2 linked regions of the Alligator mississippiensis genome follow. The protein of the gene in region 2 binds, or shares a complex with, the protein of the main gene of each other region. Links are inferred from orthologs where the notes say so. Each region holds a gene or a part of one and is shown on either strand. Other genes may lie near its edges. The genes, in order: MAPK10 and MAPK8IP1.

Evidence for each region.
Region 1: the proteins of MAPK8IP1 (region 2) and MAPK10 are in contact, whole or in part, in a crystal structure (PDB 3PTG), measured with the Homo sapiens proteins. The link is inferred for Alligator mississippiensis from reciprocal best matches to the Homo sapiens genes MAPK8IP1 and MAPK10. Residues at the interface, in NP_005447.1 of Homo sapiens: Pro158, Lys159, Arg160, Pro161, Thr162, Thr163, Leu164, Asn165, Leu166; in NP_620448.1 of Homo sapiens: Asp150, Ala151, Gln155, Val156, Met159, Leu161, Glu164, Arg165, Tyr168, Leu169, Tyr171, Val197, Lys198, Ser199, Asp200, Cys201, Trp362, Asp364, Glu367.

The regions. Positions count from the first base shown.
Region 1 is NC_081825.1:149,718,422-149,728,396, reverse strand, and holds the start of MAPK10 (mitogen-activated protein kinase 10), read left to right. Parts: upstream 1-5,498; 5' UTR 5,499-5,536; intron 5,537-9,975. UniProt on the Homo sapiens protein: Serine/threonine-protein kinase involved in various processes such as neuronal proliferation, differentiation, migration and programmed cell death.
Region 2 is NC_081825.1:226,476,864-226,486,457, reverse strand, and holds the start of MAPK8IP1 (C-Jun-amino-terminal kinase-interacting protein 1), read right to left. Parts: upstream 4,078-9,594; 5' UTR 3,891-4,077; coding exon 3,805-3,890; intron 1-3,804. UniProt on the Homo sapiens protein: The JNK-interacting protein (JIP) group of scaffold proteins selectively mediates JNK signaling by aggregating specific components of the MAPK cascade to form a functional JNK signaling module. Required for JNK activation in response to excitotoxic stress.

The sequences.
Region 1 (9,975 bases), about 77 Mb from region 2:
CTTCAGGGCAGAGCCATGCTGAGAAGAAAAGCTCTTTTTCAGCTACACTGTTGCATTATTTCTGAGCTCTCTCCTCTGGGTCTTCTAATGGTGTAGTTCAGTGAGGTCCCAGGTCCTCTCCACTCTGATAGGAGATAGTGAGAGCTGAGGACATTCAGTACTTCACAGAATTGGGTCTTAAATTCTTTTTATAAACAGCTGCCAGACACATTACATTTTCTTGTGATTTGGAAATTATGCATCACTATGAAGAATATATAGAGGGAAAAGGAAACAAACAGCTGCACATTTGTGTAGTAAGGCACTTTCTTTTCTGGAAAAAAGCAAGGAAATAAAAATCACAAAGATGCCTTTGAGAGAGAGAGAGAGAGAGAGAGATTTTTAAATGAATGCTCACTCCTCTCCTTTTCTATGTAAGCACACAGGATTCATATATAACCAACCACCTTAAGAAATATGTTCTAACCTGCACCGTAGCAGGAAATATGGAGTAAATAATTAAGGCTGCCACCACAAAAATCATACCACAGCAGGAAAGGTATAAAGAATCCTCCTGGAAGAAAAACCATTAAATCACACAGTGAGAAATTAGGAAAAAAAAAAAAAACTGAAAGCAAGTCTTCATAAATAGTGACATAGGAAAGTAAAAACCACTTGGAAAATTAAAGGCCTGAGTCTTGAAGAGAGGGAGCATTTCAACATGTCTGTCAACTGGTAGCGATTTTGAAACTAAGTTCTCCCCTGATATTGCTTGCTGACATTTTTTTAACAAATGTCATCACAGAATTTATGTAGCATGCACATTGATCAACAACTTTACTTTATCATGTCACTTTGGCATATATTGCTGACTATTTGTGTAAATGAATACTAGCAACTTTCCATCATGCAGGGAACCAGGGGCATTGTATTGATAAAAGGAAAAGTAAGTGACATAATTATTAAAGTAATGCTTCACTCATACCATTTACTTGTGGTTTTATTTATTTAGCTCTAATGCAGGGCCTGGCTCTGCCATCTTTGCTTAAGCTGAGCTGCATTCTGCTAATAGTCTAGTTCAGGGGTAGCCAACCAACAGCACATGTGTCCCAAGTGGTGCGGGCAACCTTTTTTTTTTGTTTGGCATGTGGAAGACTGGGAAAAGGACATTCAGCACAATGGCATATATGACAGGGAGCAGAAAGCAGAGCACCAGATCAGGCAGGCAAAGGGGATCAGAGTGGCACTCAGGGAGGCTGCAAGGCAAATTTGTGGCACCCCTGCCAAAAAAGGTTGGTCCATTTGGTCCAGTTAAGTCAGTTTAGGTCCTTGCAGAACAAGGACTGTTCAGCATTAAGTGAAAACAGCAGAACAAAGCCCACAGGAAAAATGTTGTAGATTCAATAATAGTACTAGTTTAAAATATCAGATGTGTTTTACTATGGAAGCAAATTAAGTGTCAGAACATCCATATCTAGAATACTGGTGTTCTAGCTCCTTTTTTACATTTTCCTGTTTTCTCTTTCTTTCATTCTTCTTTTTTATAAGTTATTCTTTCCTCTTATTGTAGCTTCCCTGAGCCTTTGTTGGGAAGAGAAGCATATAAATTGAATGAATGAAGAAACAAATAAATAAATATGGACTATCCTTTCCCATATGGATGTCTGCATATATACTTGCCCTGATTTTAGTTACACAAAGAATTGGCACCTTTAAACATGGAAGAACAGCACTGCCATTCCTCATTATGCTTATATAAGCTTCACAGTGTTAGGTGTTTTTTGAAAACTCCAGACATGAGAATCAACAGCTCTAGTTCCTGCATGAAAATCTATTTTTGTTTAAAAAAAAAAAAAAAAAAGTGGGGAGAGGAAGCTCTAGTCCTCCTCCTCCAAGATTGTGGAGAAAAGCTTGAAAACATGAAGCAAGTGTACCCTAAAGCCTCGTACATCAGAGGGCAGTTAAAAAAGCCCCCCACCAATACATTACTACTTTTTTTTTAATTTTTTGTTTTTAACTCAATATCATGATATTTGGAGGCCTTGCTCATGACTTTTATATGCAGGGAATTAGTAAGATTGAAAACATTCCTTAGTGCAATTATAAACGTTAGCTATTACTGACTTATCTGAAAACAGTCCTTGCCAAAAGGTGACTGCCTTAGAGTCTCAGCTTTAGGAAACAATATTGTATTCTATAAATCTAAAAGCATAATAATATATAATCTCCCATTATGGTAGATACTGCTAGTTAGGGTTATGCAAAGCTTCGGTCCCTGATTTGATTTGGCCTGATTTGGTGGCCGAATCTCTGAATCTGAATTGAATCCGGAGACCCTTTTAATCTCTCCGAATCGAACTGGAACCCTCCAAATCAATTCGGAAAGATTCAGCAATTTGGACATAGACACAGTTTTAAATGTATTTTTTCCACATATCACAAGGAACCAGGCGGCTTGTGAATGCTGGGGTAGATGGAGTGCGCTTGGCAGCAGACCCAGAAGTGGACCAGAAGCACTTCTGGGTCACCAGGGAGTGTGCTGGGGGCTCCCCCACACCCTCCCCAGCTCAGTGACTGGTGCCTCCTGGGTCTGGGGGGGCACCTGGAGTCCCCTCGCAGCCAATCGCAGAGCCAGAAAGGCATGGAGGGACCCCACAGCATGCTCCCCAGCGGACCTGGTTCACCGCCGAGCACATGGAGACTGCCGCCCCCACCCCGGCGCGCTCCTGTGGGACACTTCATCTGCCCTAGCATTGCAGCGTTCACAAGCTGCACCTGGTACCTTGAGGTATGTAGAAAAAACATCTAAAGCTGTGTCTATGGCTGAATTGCCTATTCTCTGAATCAGCATCTGAATCTTCAGATTCAGAATTGGCCGAATCGAATCAGGACAGTGGTCCAAATCGAGAAATTGAATTACAGTCCTCAATTTTGGGCTGAATCTGAATTGAATATGGCCCATTTCACCACCCTTACTGCTAGTGTTTTGGTGGTGGAACAGGTTTGGCAGCATCATTAATTTAGGGTAATTGCTGGATTTAAATGTTCAGGTCTAAATACAAAACAATGTGGAATCCACTTAGTTTGGAACTTGGAATAATAGAAAGTTAGGGTTGGAAGGGACCCCAGGAGGTCATCTAGTCTAACCACCTGCTCAGAGCAGGACCATCTGCAACTAGATCATTCCAGCCAAAGCTTTGTGTAATCGGGTTTTGAAAACCTCTAAGGATGGAGCTTCCACCACCTCTCTAGGTAACCTGTTCCAGTATCTTACTACCCTCCCAGTGAGAAAATTCTTAATATCTAACCTAAACTTCCCTTGCTGAAATTAGAGAAGTTGCTCAGCCCATAAACAAAAATTGGAAAGATTCATGAGCTATGGTGAGGTGTTGGGTCAGGACCTTGGTATGTCAGTGCCTCAGTAAGAGGCATGGTTGATGCTCACATAGACATTTCGGAGCTGTCTTTTATTTAGCTACTGTATCTCATGACAGATGACACAGCATGGGTTTCAGCTGCTGAGCAAGTGCCCAGAGTTTTTGTACAGCCCATGCTGCTATGGTTTTGTAGCTATTGGTACCCAAGCTACATAAAATATAAACTAGCCCCGGCATTTCTACATCAGGCGAATGTGCCTCTGATTCCTGTACAGATGTACATTGGGATTCCCTCTTTTCTTTGTCAGCTGGCAAAAGAGGAGGCAAAGGGGGTTACAGTTTTCATACATATAGCATGTAAAAAATCCCAAACTTTATTAAAAGAATGTCATTTAAGTTTCAAAGGGCATGTCTACATGTCACCCTATGGAAACATAGCACCATGCTATTTCACCATACAATGCACTATGACAACGTTGCGATCACATGGGTCTACATATGATCACCTACTATGTCTCCATAGCAGTGCACTCCCCACTTACAGCGTGCTGCTACGGCCACGTAGTGGGAAAATTGAAGCATGTGCCACCCATATGGCACAGTACCTGCCTGTACGGGTGCCATGCTTTAGTAGTTTTTGAAAGGAAGCACTAAAGCACAGCAATGTTGCCATATAGCGACATGTAGATGTGTCCAGTCTAGCACTCAAGTTTGATAATTTGGCCAACCTTATTTCCACCTTCTTCCTCTCTCCTGCCTTAACTATCCTGTGGATTGAATGAAACAAAGGCCCTGTAAGACCTATATAAGCACATAATTACAGGCTATGTTATGGAAAAATTAATACAGGCAACTGTAAATGTGGCATTGGCTAACTTCTGAATGCTTAAGTATACAGCCTTACCTGCTTAGTTTTATTTTTTGTATGAAATTTCTTATGTTTTATTAAATATGTCCTGCTATTTGTCTTTTGACAATCATCCCATCATGCATCACTAGCATGGCTTGCACCTTGAAAGTGCAGCACAACAACCCAGCATTTTGTTGTTTGAGCTACAGGGCAAACTCTGTCAGCTGGATAACAGAAGAAGGCTCTAGTTTCCAGTATCAGGATGTGGCCATGAGCTAGATGTAAGGGTGTAGAGTTAGTGGGAGCCCATTGTGGCCTGCCCATTGCTCACTATTCCCTAGAGTGATGGATAGGATGCTGGAACCATCTCAAAAAGGAATAGCTTGGAGGGCATGGGTGCATTTCAACCTGGCTGTTTGGACCTTTTATCATAGCAGAAGCAGGTCAAGTGTTTCCAGAGTGGTGTGGCTCATTCACTTGAGGTACATCTAATGTTTTCCTAAAAATACAAAATTCCAAGTGGATCTAAGACAGTAAAAGATCTGTGAACTGTATCCCACCAGTTATAACCAGGCATACCAAAATTCTGGAATTTCATGCATCTCTAATCTTAATATCCTGGCATCAGTACCTTCCTAAGAAGTAGTTTATAAGGATAAGATTAAACAATTCCAAATTTTATAAATTGAGACAGATCAATTAATCTCTCCCTCATCTAAAAAAGCCTAAGGGTAATAATAAGATTTCCAAATCATCTGAGGAAGAACAGTAAATTCACATTTGCTCTACATCTTAATAAAATTAGCTTATTGAATAGCATTATAAATATCAGACAAATGTAGAGATATCACAAATCAGTCACCATATTTTAATAGGTATTAAAAATGCAGCTGTGAAGTCTCACGTTTAAATCAGCTTTTCTTAAGACAGAATTTTATTTCAAAGCCCACTGTCTTAAATGGTTGGTTGTTTCTTTCACATAAATCTGAGAATTTGAGATTACTGAAAAAGTCCTAATTTCTTTCCTTATTGTATATTTCTGGGATTTTTACACATAACTGTCTTAGCCATGGAAAATCATTATTTGATGGCAGACTGTCACAGAGCACTGAGGTGCCTTGCTCCCATAGAGGGGAAAACTGCTAGGGAAGAAGCCCTAGAAGGGAATAAGGAGCCCAGCTGTGGGTTGCCAGGGCAACCAGAGAAGGTCAGCTGACCCTAAGGGGCAGGGCCTGGCTCTTATAAAGCCCAGGAGCTGAGGCCAGAGGCAGTTCCCTGCCAGCAGCCAGGAGCTCTCTAAGCCATGATGCGAGGAGAAGCCTAACTGCAGGTACAGCTAATGGCAGCTCTAAGAGGCTTGAGCAAAGTTGTTATAGACAGGCGGCTTATGTTTAAGTTATAGCCAGGAGGCTCGAGTTTGTGTTGCTGTTTGTTACACTGGTGGTGTGGGTGAGGCTATAAGGGGATGGAGGAGGCCTCATAGAGGACTCACAGTGGAGTGTGAGGACCCCGGCGCCAGCGGGTACAGCACACGGGGTGCATAGACCCCAGCCCGAGAGAGGGACGTTTGAGAAGCCCCAGGGCGGGTGTGGTGAGCCCCTGAGAGGGGGCAGCTTTACTGGGAAGCCCAAGGGTGGGCACGGAAAGCCCCAGGAGGGGGCAGCATTGTAGAAAGGCCCCAGAAAAGAGGGCACAGAGTGAGAGGGGGCCGGAGGGAGCCCTAGCACCAGAGGGAGTGTGCAGTAAAGGAAGGAAGGCCCAGGGAGAACAGTAAGGGGCCAAATAGCAAGAGAACTGAGACAACAGCGATTCCCATCAGCGAGGTGTGGACTGCGGTGTAGGGGAGGAAATGGAGCCACAGATAGCGCCCCCTAGCAGCGGGGCAGTATAAGGGCAGCCTCCCGCTAATTAATAGTAATTAATTAAGATCAAGGCATGGCAGGCAAGTAGGCGGGCGGTTGCCCCAGAGACAGGTGTGTGGGCCACATTAAGGGCGGCCCAGAGCAGATACCTGTCACAGACATGGGGCATGTCTCTACATGCAGGGGCATGAGTTGCCCCTGCACAAATAGCAGTGACACCTTTTTGTGCTTCTGCTTTGTGCCCCTGGGCATGCTCCAGCATGTGCCAAAGTGTCCCGGGGCAGGGATGGGGGGAAGTGTGTGCTTAGGGGAACCTAGGGCAAGCACCTGTGAAGGTTCCAGCAGCTTTACCTGGGATCATGGGGGCCTCCTGGGGCAGCAGTGGTGCCAATCCTGCCTCACAGAGGCAGGTGCTGCTGTGTGCACCATACCACATCACTTTTTTTTTTTGGGGGCAATTTTGTTTGTTTGTTTGTTTGTTTATTTTTTGACACCAGGATCTTTGAGGCACTGTAAACTGCATGTGCATGCTCATCTGGATGCACCCATGGAGTTTAGCTGTGAAATTTGTAAGGAAGTAATGATACAAAATGGTGACAGATGACAGAACAAGGAGCAATGGTCTCAAGTTGCAGTAAGGGAAGTTTAGGTTAGATATTAGGAAGAACCTTCTCACTAGGAGGATAGTAAAACACTAGACTAGGTTACCCAGAGAGGCTGTGGACTCTCCATCCTTGGAGGTTTTTAAAACCTAGCTAGACAAAGCTTTGGCTGGAATGATCTGGTTGCAGATGGTCCTGCTTTGAGCAGGGGGTTGGACTAGATGACCTCCTGAGATCCCTTCCAACCCTAATTTTCTATGAAAATACTTGGATGGTAAATAAGTATTTGATGGTATAATATTCTGCCAAAAAACCCAACCTTCATAGAAAGGATATGTGGCATTGTTGATAAATAGTTTATACAAAAGTATAGTGGTTACAGTGTTTTTATTAGAGATGATGAACATGGGAGAAATCCCCAGATTTGAATGCTTCTTCCCTCCTTCTCTTGCCTTTTCCATGGAAATCTCAAAAATTAATATTTTCCAAGTAGTTCAAATTAAGTATAATATGTGAGGGTTTTTTTTATAACATGCACGTGCGCACACACACAATAAGAAATGCATGTGATTTATAAGATATATTTCTTATCTTGTGTTTGTGTAATATATATTATACACACATGCATATATGAAAAGTTAATATTAAGAGTATAATGGAGAAAAAACAAACAATTTTCAAGTTTTTATTGTCTTGTCTTTACATTCAGGCTCTCTAGCTGATGTTGAGTGCTCTCCTATATTTTGATCTGTGTTCTACTTCTCATTTTATCTTGTATTATTACATATTTTGGTTATCTCTTGCAAGCCATCCTGAAGTGATGCATTTCTTTGCAGATTTTTATTTGTTGTTCTTGAAACTTGTGGAGCTATCTTCCAAGACTAATGAACTGAGGTTGTCTGGGGTCTATTTTTTTTTTTTTAAATCAGCGTGCACTTTCAAAGCTTTGTTTGTATATAATTGTATTAGCAACTAAAATATCTCTATATGTAAGGGTACCTAGAAATGTATTCATAGTGATTCACTTGGTTCTAAAACCAAGAAGTCAGGGTTTTTTAAATAGATAATTAGGATTGGAAGGGACTTCAGGAGGTCATCTAGTCCAACCCCCTGCTCAAACCAGGAGTATCCCCAACTAGATCATCCCAGCCAAGGCTATGTCAAGCCAGGTTTTAAAAATCTCCAAGAATGGAGATTCCACAACTGATCTGGGTAATCTGTTCCATGCTTTACTACCCTCCCAGTGAGAAACATTTTCCTAATATCTAACCTAAACTTCCCTTACTGCATCTTGAGACCATTGCTTCTTGTTCTCTCATCTGCCAGCACCTGAGAACAGTCTAGCTCCATCTTCTTTAGAATCACCCTTCAGGTAGTTTGAAGGTTGATATTAAATCCCACCTCAAACTTCTCCTTTTTAGATTAAATAAGCATAGTGACCTCAGCCTCTTCTCAGAATGGTTAGACTCCAGCCCCCCAACCATTTTTGTTGCCCTCCACTGAACTCTCCAATTAGTCCACATCCTTTCTGTAGGGGAGCAGGGGGGCCAAAACTGGATACAGTACTCCAGATGGTCCTCACCAGTGCTGAATACAGGGGGGGGGGGGGGGGGAGATCACTTCCCTGAATCTACTGGCAATGCTCCTACCAATGCATCCCAGTATGTCATTAGCCTTCTTTGCAACAAGGACACACTTTTGGCTCATATTCAGCTTACTGATCACTGTAACCCCCAGGTCTTTTTCTGCAGAGCTGCTGCCCAGCCAGTTTGTTCACAGTCTGTACCAGTATATGGGATTGTTCAGTCCTAAGTGCAAGACTTTGCACTTGTCCTTATTGAACTTAATGAGATTTCTATTGGTCCAATCCTCCACTTTGTTGAGGTCTCTCTGAATCCTAGCCCTGCTGTCCACGGGATCTACTACTCCCCTTAGCTTGGTATCATCCACAAACTTGCTGAGGGTGCACTCCATCCCGTCTTCCAGACTGATGAAGATATTTAACAAGACAGGACCCAGGAACAACCCCTGGGCCACTCCACTTGATACTGGCCAACAGCTAGACATTGAGCTACTGATTACTACTATCCAAGTCTGACAATCCAGTGAGCTTTCTGTCCACTATACAGTCTATTCATCCAGTCTGTACTTCCGTAGCTTATTTTTGAGAATGTTGTGGGAGACTATCAAAAGCCTTGCTAGAGTCAAGGTATATCACATCCACTGCTCTCCCTGCATCCACAGTGCCAATCATCTCATCATACATGGCAATCAGGTTGGTCAGGCATGACTTGCCCTTGGTAACTGTTCCTAGTCTTCTTCTCAGTGCTCAGCAATGAATGTTTGGGTGTTAAATTTACAATTCCACCTGATGCTGGTAAATATTTCATAACCTATAGCAGTCAAGATGTGTACTGTCCACTAGTGACTGTGGTTAAATGCTATCCACTCAGAGGGTAGGCAGGGTGTTTATGTTGGTGCCATACTATGTGGATGTAGTGCTGTGCAAGTGTAAACCAAGTGGTATGAACTCACATTTGTGATCATATGTGTAGCAATAAAATTAAAACTGCTTGGGAAACCAGTTGCTGCACAGAAAATCCAAGGTTTTGAAGCTAGAGTGAGAAAAGGAATGGGCGTGGCCTATAGTCAAAAAGAAGGAAAGAGGTCAGTGCAAAGAGACAAGGGGCTTGAAGCTGAGGAAGAAAGGGGACAAGCTAAGAGTTTGAAAAAGGAGTAAGAAATGGCAAACCGAGTAGAAGAAAGTGAAGGAAACAATCTAGTTTCACAGGCCTCTAACCTCTTTTTACCCTCTACAAATTCTTAATAACAAAATGAGGAAAACTACTAATCCATGATCAGGAGAAGAGGCATGCATTTCCAAAACAACTAGGAAGAGCAGCCACCTTGGATGTTAGGGTAGCTTACTCTCTCCTTCACTTACTGTCTGTAATCTCTGAAATTAAGAGGGGAGTGAGGCATTTAAAGTCTATATTGTAGGACTTGCTGCATCAGGAAGTAGTTCTGATTCTCCTATCTTTCTTATGGGTTATTGCTAATAAAGTGCTTCCCTCTGTTACGAGTACGTGAGGACTCTCCATGGCACTGCCATGCTCACTTATTCAATCTTCCCGAGGTTCCCTACCCAGCCAAGAAATGTAATTTACTGTGCAATGAACTAGATGTAATGCGGTGCTATGGAATGTCAAACAAAGGACGATTAGCTTTGCGATTAAGGTACTCAAGAAGGATTCAGGAGATGTGGGCTCAATTTCTGGCTTTGCAACAGACTTTCAGTATTGATC
Region 2 (9,594 bases):
TGGTTTCCCCCATTTGCACAGGTGGACCCTGGAAATCCCCCAGCAGGGCACTCCCTCGTCACATATTGTTCTGCCAGGCCCTGACATGGGGCATGCCTCTCCTATCCATGAAACCCAGGGTTTCCCTGTTTGCAGAGATTTGCATGCAGGGAATCTGACTTGAGAAACATCTCTGCAGAATGGGAAAGCCCCAGATTTCCCCCTGTTGCAGAGGCATGCCCAGGGATTCATGCTGAGATATATCCTGGCACAGCTGATCTACTTCATTTAGTGATGCTGGTTTATACCCAAAGAAGCTTAAGCTGATGTCCTCATTGCATTCACTTTGGGTGAGAAAGGGGAGAGGAGCCTTCCCTTTAAGACCATCCACCTTTCTGGGAGACCCAAGCCTGCAGTTTTCCATTGTTTCCAAGAGGTAGAATTAATAATAGGCTGGAATGATGCAAGGTAAATTTAGTCTAAACTCAAGAAAAGCTTCCGGGCAGGCTGTGTGGGAGGCTGTGAAATTGTCTCCCAGAAAAAGACACTGGTAGTTGGCATCATCTGGAGACTGTCTCCCAGAAAAAGTTGACTGGACAAATCCACAGGAAATAGATTGAAGGGACCAATCCTGCCTCAGGCCCATGAGACAAATGGAAAAGTGAATGGGACCTATGGTGCCTTTTCCATCTCTGACTTGTAGAATTCCCCTCAAAGACGCATAGTGAAGATGACCTCCCCACCCAAGGGCCTCTTTACATAAGGGGCTTAGACCACAGTCCTTTGCTCCTCAGTCCCCTCACAGGTGATGCCAGATCATCATATTAGGTGATACCTTACCAGAACCTCTGACCCCTTCTTCCCAACTTGTCCATTTGAGGTCATCTGGAAGAACTGGCTCCCTTCTAGATCTAAGCGGGGCACCAGGTACCTTTCACCTACAGAAACACTGGTGGGAATCTATTCAAAAGTGGGCACAGCAGTGGCACTGGATTCACCTTCTGCTAGAAGCGCAACACTAATATGCTCCCACGGTTCACACAGCATTTCATTTCATACCTTGGCCTGACTCTTTATCTCTCACTGAAATCAGTGCTGCCCTCTCTACAATGGGAACCCTAAAAGAGAGATTTCTTCTCACAGGTGCTGGAGCTGAGTTGGCTACAGCAAGGCTAGATGAATCAAAAGGCAGCTATCATTCGGACTCTCTCCTTACATGCAGCTCTCAGGGTCCCTTAGTGCTGGCACCTGTCAGATAACGTAATTTGTAACAAAATGGGGGGGGAGACAGGGGGCCACTCTGACTACTAAATATTATTTGAGATCTCAAAATTCTTCCCAAAGCTCAGAAACCCCAGAATTGTTTCTTCAATCTCAAAAACACAACCCCAAACTTAGGAATGTTTCATCTTAACTGTAAAGCCCCCCCATACTCTCCTAAATACATTTCAGAACTGGGACACCTCTCTTCACAAGGCATAACCATTCCCAGCTCCTTTTATCAGTAAAGCCTTTTTCTGAGCTCAGGATGTCAGAATTTGGACTCCATTTCGAAGGATCTGGACAACAGAAGGTGCTGGCACCTTGCTCATCCTTCCCTGGGTGTTGCTGTTTACATTTGAGAAGAAAGAGCCCAGGAGACAAATGCTGTATCTAGGACAGCAGCACACAGCAAGCCCAAGACTGTCACGGGACCAGGCTGAACTGAGCTCTGCTGCTGGGCTCATATTACCCAGCTCTGTGGCCGAGCCGTTTCTCCATAGTGGACATTTCCAGAGGCAGCTTTAATTGCTTAATTTGCAGGGTTTATCCAGCCATGTTGCAATAGCTTCAAACAAATCAAACAGGCAGTGCTGGAACTGAAAGGCAGCGAGGAGGCTGCTGTCTGCTGACTCCCCAAGGCTATTCAGCACAGGAGCCTCCAGAACCTAACAACAGACAGACAGTCTGCAGAGGAGCAAGTCCCCTAGAGGCAGCCCCACAAAGCCCAGACCACATACCAATTTTCTCTCAAAAAAGAGGATGCCAGATTATCTCCTGCCCCAAACCTCAGACCCTGGACTCCTATAGAATCAAATATAACACATTTACCTGTAGCTGCAAATGTGGGGCACCTATCTTTACCCTGCCTGGAATCTCAGTACAGAACTTGCCTTCCCTCCAGACCTGAAGCAGTTTCAGTCACACAGCCCCACAATTCCCAACACTCAATGATTGCTCAGAATTTTAGGAGACAAATAACATCCAGACCCTGAAACCACAGTTAAAAATAAGGACACAGTCATTATATGACAAAGAGTGAGGCCATGGCCCCATTCCTAATATGCAAATCATGCCTAACCCTGCTTTGAGAGGGTCACCAGGCAGCATCCTGACCCTCATACTGTCACTTGTGCCCATCTCTCATCTAGGCAACTAGAGGCACATCAGTTCCCCTCTGCTCTTGCCTCTGCCTGTGGCTGGCAGGCCTCATTGTGAATAGTCCCACGGCATTCAGATTCCAAAGCTCCGTGATCCAAATCGATGGGATGTTTCTGAGAGGATCGATTGTAAATCTGTTGCATCCTCCAGGGTTTGTTTCGGGTCTCCTAGGGCAGGGCTCTGCCTCTGGGAGATCATATACAGGGTTTGGGAGATGGGGGTTTGCCTGAGAGGATGCATTCTGGAGGTGATTCTGGAAGATGAGTGGGTGGCTGTATTTTTATGGGGAGGAAGGCTTCTCAGAGAAGGAAGTGGGAGTATGGAGGAAGGCTTCTCATGTATGGGGATATGGAGGCTGGGGTTGGAAGTAAGAGGAGGCTGAAGGAGGTATGGGGAGTTCAAGGTTTTCTTGTGGGGGGATAGGAGATGTACAGGGAGGTGAGATAGGTAAGGCAGCTGTGGTGATGTGGACATGATGGGTGAGGGAGGTGTGAGGATATGGAAGTAGGCATAGAAAGGGTGCATGCATGGGGTATCTGGGGGCAGCCCTAGGTGTAGATTTTGAGGGAGAGGGCCTGGGGTGAGGAAGGCTGTGCATGAGTGTGTGCACACATGTGCACCTGTGGGATGCTGAGAGTTGCTCAGCCCCACCCAGGAGAGAGCTCTTCCATGTTCCCCCTCCTTCCACAAAGCTGGTAGGAGAAATCCCATGGGGGGGGGGGGGGTCTGACCCTATAGCTAAATGCCAACCCTCCTGTGGCAAGGTGCTGCTCAGAGTGATCAAAGCCCATCTCTGGCTCTCCAGACACCTGTCCCCCTCCTCCTCTTGCCTCCCTAGATAACAGAGAATGGTTTGACAGACACCACCTGTTCCAGGGCAGGCAGCTCCCGCTGGGGAGACCCTAGGTTGAGGGAGAGGGGTCATTAATGCCCTGATCCTACTGGGAGGGTTGACCACACCCCTGCCAGCGCCAGGTGGGCATTGTTCTCCCCTGCCCCCACCCCCTCAGTGGGGCAGCCTCCGCATGTCTCCTGGGGAGGCATCCCGCGGCCTGCCCCCTTGCCCCGGCAGGGGCACAGCCTGGGAGAGAAGTAAAGAGCGAGGGGGCAGGGGGTGCAAACACCTGCTGGCATCTTAGCATGGTAGAAAATGAGGGCAGAAGGGACTGCAGGAGGTCACCCAACCAAACCCCCTGCTCAGAGCAGGACCAGCCCCAGCTAGCTCTTCCCCGGGCAGGAGTAGGGGGTGGGGGAGAAGGGAGCTGGGCTTCACCCCGTGCCCAGCCCAGCTCTGCGGGAGGCGGAGGGATGTAGGGGGAGCAGAGCGGATCAAAGAGATCTCCCTTCCCCCATCTCCCTCCGGGGCCAGACCCGGGGCTCCGGGCAGGGAGGCGGCTCCGGTACCTGAAATTGGGAGGCGAGGCGAGGTGCAGCCCCAGGAAGGGAGACGATCCGGCGGGGGACGTGGCTCCTTTCTCTCTCTCCGCCATTCTCCCTCTCCATGCGGGCGGAGCAGGGAGGGAGATGGATGCTGCTGATGCTGGCAGGCAGGGAGGGGAGAGGAGGGGGAGCCCGGCAGCCGGGCACGGATCCACTGGGGTGGGGGTGCAGGGGTGGGGGCGCAGCTGGAAGCCGGCGCCGAGGACGCCCCTGAGGGCGCCAGCTGCAAGCCAGCGGCCCCCACAGCTGGATGCAGCGGCCCCGCCCCGCTGGGGGGGTGGGGAGGAAGCTGCAGCAGGTGAAGGGGCGGGGGAGCGGCGGCTGAGGGGCCCTAATGCCCAAGGCACCACTGGGTGCCCCCAGGAGAGCTCCTTGCCCGCCAGCCGGGCATTTCCTTGTTTGGAGATCCCACCCCAAGGTGCCCACCAGGGAGGCCCTGCTGAGAGGGGCTGGGGGAACTGAAGGGGCCTGGGCAGCTGGTGCAGATCATGGGCCAAGCAACCAAGGGGGGCCCCCGCAGAAGGCTGCAGCCCAGGGCTGGCTGGGGGAAGGGGCCCAGCTGGGTCTCTGCCAGCTGCAGGGCATTCAAGTCACCAGTTCAGTCCCCCCCCAGGAAGCAGCCCCCCTGGCAGCAGCAGCCCAGCTTTTCATAAGGCCATTTAATTCCTAGGGTAGAGTGCAAGCCCCGCCGTCCAGCTCCGCATTCGTTCCTCCTTCCCAGTCGAGGCAACAGAGCTGGGAGGGGCAGAGTCCAGCTGTCAGACCAGTTTCAAAGAGAAACCATTCACTGCTGCTTGGGACCAAGCCCCGTCCATCTAGGCCGGATCCCAGGCACCAGCATCTTCTGCAACAGGTTTCTTCAAGACCCTTGTGCCTCTAGTGTATGGAGATACAGGTTTTTTTCACTTTATGTGGGTTCTGTATGTGCAAATTCGCTCTTATGCAATGACCCCTTTTTATACCAAAAAAATTGTTATGTGAGAGGTAACTTCACTCTTATGCGATTGGTGTGGTGGAAGCCCGAAGTCAGCTGCTTTGTGCGGTGCATTGTGGGAGTGATGTGCACCAAAATATAATCTCTTGTGTGGATCTGTGCTCCTCACTCCTTGTCTGAGATAAGTGTTTCTGTATTTGCCATCCCCATTATGGTAACATTCACCACCACCCTGTGCTTGCATGTACTGTTTGCTGTTGGTGAATACCACAATTGTCTTGGAAAAGTGGTAGAAATGGGTCTGGGGGTCAGTACAGTCAAGGTCTTGGAACATATGCCTATTTGTTACATTGTAAAGTGGGCTCCCTTTATGTGAATTTGAATTATGCGCCATCTTCCAGGAACACATGTACAGCATAAAGTAAAGGAAACCTGTATTGTTTTCTCTCTCCAGAGCACCTCCTTCCAGTTAGAGAAGTGAGCCTCAAACAAATACCACTTTGAGCATGAACGATGTGTGCCCCCAGCGGCTGGGGGGGGGGGGGGGGGGGGGCATGGCGGCAACAGAAGCATTGTGGCAGAAGCAGGGCAGTGGTAAGTGAGGGCTCCCGTAGACACCCCCAGTGCTGGTGGCAGCAGGGGAGGGGGGGGGGGGCACGCATAGGGGGTGCTGACCAGGGGTCAGCAACCACCCACAGATGCTGCCGGCAGCCTTTCTGTAGGGGGTGTGCTGCCACACTCAGGGGGTGCACATGCACCTGCGTGCACCCCCTATGCATTGCCCCTGACCTTGAGGGGCAAACCCTAGTTCATGGAAGTGTGATTCAACAGTAGTAGAGCTTGGCTATGGGCTCCACTGTTGGGAACAAGTAGGGCTTCCATCCTTCGTTTAAGCAGGTCTATCAGTGTGACCATGCTTGAGTTCTCTTGGGAACAATGGTTCATTGACCCAACCCTACCAATTTAGGTATCAGATCAGGTGATCCCTTTGTTTTGAAGCTGTCCTTGGAACCTAGGCCACACAGGCTGGACTTTAACAAGTGAAGCACTGCCAGCCATAGCTGCCTGTGCCTTTGCTTATGCTGGGCCACCACAATGTCTGTTTTTATATTTCTATAAGTAGTCTGGGTATAGTGGTATCCCATATTTTGCCCCATGTACATAGAAGAGCACATTTCCTTAGGTCACCACCTATTGGGGGATCTAGGTTTGGGCATGGATATGCATCAGTAGCTGTTCATGGAGGCTAAATTACATGTTGGCTAAATATGCCCACTAGTGGGCGAGCTCTAGTGGGATGAAACAAGCTGGGAACTCACCATGAAGCAATGCAATTTTCATAAGCCTGCTTATGGCAGAATACGTGAGTCTCCCTGGACACTCCATCATTCACCTGAGGGTGGCTGGTCTCAGAGAGCAAACTTTTAAAAACTATTTGACTGGGAAACTGCAGAACAGGAAGTCACCCCCACACTAGATTGCTTAAGCATAGTTTAAAAAGGAACTGTGCATTCTTAACCTGTTACCTGTATTACATTTTGCAATTCCTTTGTTTCCATGGGTTTACTATCTGCACATTTGCCTCTTCCAGCACTGCTCTTCCCTCTTCTGCTTTTGTAGTCCAGTTTTTCTTCCTTATACAAAGCTTCATGCACATCCTTTCACAGCATCTGATTAAAATGAGCTCAGGCCCATGAAAGCTTGCGTTACATATTTATATCTGGCCAATTATATATACAGGCAGGGTAGATTTGCACCTTGATATACTAAGCTATATATATCTAGCTTAGTTTATAAGGCACAAATCTACCTTGTCTTATATTAGCACAGTTAAGTCAAGTAGAAGTTTGGATCCTATTTTACATGGAGAGGCTACAATACTTAGGAAATTAGACTTTTCTTTTTCAAGGTAACTGCCACCAGTTCTGGGCCCTGTTGCTCTATCAGCAGTCAAGTGCTTATGTCTACATTGGCTTCCACAGGAACTCAGAACCTTTAAAGACTTTCTCTTAAAACTCCCTGTTTAGAGTGGTCCTTTACCTATTTCCAATAAAGGGCTAGGTTAATATTTTGGATCCGTTTGGTCTACAGCTGAGATTACAATAGGAATGGGTGATATGCACTGACTCAAGACTACATGCAATATAAATACTTGTATACATTATCAAAGAAAATTAGGGTTGGAAGCAAGGTTCCTTCCAAGGTGTGCACATGCACGGCTGCAAACAATTTAAAATCTTGCTGCGTACCCACCCGGAGAGGACCTGGGCACAGAGTACAGCAGAGGCATCAGGAGCCTGGTGGCACAGGACGTTTACCAGAGGTAAGCTCCTCATGCCTCAGACAGTGGCTCCTCCCCGAGGCGAGGGGGGGAGGGGGCAGAGTGCCTCCTCGTGGCACCAGGGAACTGGTCTGTTTTTTCTACCTTGTTGTGGTCGGAATATGCCACCTCTTCCGCTGCATCCAGTGTGTTGAGACATTCATTTAATTACCGGCTGAGCGCCGGGAGGAGTTCCCGGCCCCAGCGAGGGATCAGGAGGCCCCAGAACTACATCCTGTAGCAGGTCCCCAAAGATTGTTGGCTGGCCCTGAATGTGATTTCCCTCTCATACAAGTTCTACACCACTGTAAGTTTCTATTTTTCAATTAAGTCACTGCTGATTTGCAAAGGCATAGATGAAAAGAAAATATGGGCCTATAAACACCATAGAAGGAAACCATGGCATGTAAGCAGTTCACATGACTTTTAGTGGTGCACAGAACTCTTTTACTGCTTTCTTTATTTTACTTTTCTTTGGCACAATGTTTGGGTGAAGCTATTTAAGTTAATATGCAAGTACTTGTAGGAGTTTCTTCATCAATACACACTCAGGTACTGAGGTTATGCTGGTATCTGATTTTGTGTGAGGGGAATCAGACCCTAACCCTCCAGCTGTTTGTGACAACTGACAATTTTAACTCTTAAATCTGTTCATGAATATATAATACCCTGTAAACACAATACCTTGCTGCTGTCCTTGAGGCACATTGCAGAGCCCCACCAGGCTTATCCAAACAATACGTAAGAGTGTTTAAGCAGAACTCAATTACTATTCAAGTGGTCATGTTTGTTACACTGTTAACAGGAACTGACTGAAGTGGTGCGCTCACAGACCAAAGCTGTGTGCTCATGGATCATTACACTTTAGAGGTAACATTGGTTGGAAGGGACCTCAGGAGATCATCTACTCCAACCTCCTGCTCAAAGTAGGACCATCCCCAACTAGATCATCCCAGCCAAGGCTTTGTTGAGCTGGGCCTTAAAAACCCCCAAGAATGGAGATTCCACCACTGCTGTTCCAGTGCTTCACCATCCTTCTAGTGAGAGAGTTTTTCCTAATATCCAGCCTAAGCTTCCCTTACTGCAGCTTGAGACCCTTGCTCCTTGTTCTGCCATCTGCCACCACTGAGAACAGTCTAGCTCCATCCTCATTGTAATCACCCTTCAGATAGTTAAAGGCTGCTATCAAATCCCCCCTCAATCTTCTCTTCTTCAGCCTGTCCCATATGAGATTGTTCAACTAAAACATAATTGATCAAGCTACATGGGATACATGCTCTAGTTTACCTGGGATGTGCCTGTGCACAGATGAGTGGAGGCACTACATGCTTCTCATTGTTGGAACTCAAGCCACAGATTAAGCATGTTCTCAGTAGATGAGATTTATCCCTTCTCAATAAAATCATGAAGTTCCCACTTCATCTCTTGACAAGAGAAGCCCTGCATGCTTTTAGAGATTAAAAGACAACTCCGTGTACCATATCACCTTCAGGCATCTGGGACAGTTGAACCCCTGAACTAGAGTGATAAATACTTTTAAAAATGGTCTCCAAATAATACTTGTGACTGGAACCCAAAGTCATTCTTTGTTGCTATAGCCCTGCACTCATCCTCAAACTAGTCCATGAGCATTATACCTTCTGCATTCACTTGCTGGCTCTCTTGCTAAATTAGTACAACAGAATGTGTGCTGCTCTCCGCAGTGCTGAAATGGAAATCCAGCCAGCTACTTGGCAGATTGTAGCATTTTAGTTTCACAGTTATGATACACAGCCCTCTTGTTAGGACTATTAGAATTCCCATACTGAGTCTGGACAGCAGGCCATCCAAGTTTTCTCTTCTGCTACAGACACCTATATGACAGTGCTTATATCTGTCTTGGAAGCCTTTCTGTCACAAGGAACAATTCTGAAGTGTGCTGTATGTAACAGGTTTCCTCCCATGTCCAGCATCGCTACATCAAATCACTTCAACACATCCCAAGTCCAGGCCATATGTTATTTGGTCCATGGTCTGGAACAGGAAGTAGTAGACATTTCTCACTCCCTTCCATCCCTCAATAGTCCTTTGATTTAGTAGATGTTAACAATATCCACACCGACCTCTCATTTTGTTTTAAAGTACCTTCTTTGGCTCAATTATCTTGTGGCTTTAAGTTCCACATGTCAATTGTGGACTATATGCATTCCTTTTGCTTGCCTTAAAATTGACAGACCTGTAGGTCCCATAGGGTGTCCACTTTTCCGTTATGACAAGGGATGTGGCAATCTATGATCACCATACTAATAGTTTTGCACATGAAACTGTCATATCCCCCCCCTTAAGCAGGTCTTAGTTTTTCCAACACTTTCTACCTCTTCTTTACATCATCCATCTCTGAACTCAGCATTTTTTTCTTTCTTTTTTAAAGTTTTACTCAATGACCTGAAATAAATGTGCAGGAAAAACAGAAGAAAAACAATCAGTATTGATTGCAAAATTAATTTTGTTGTTTGTATAG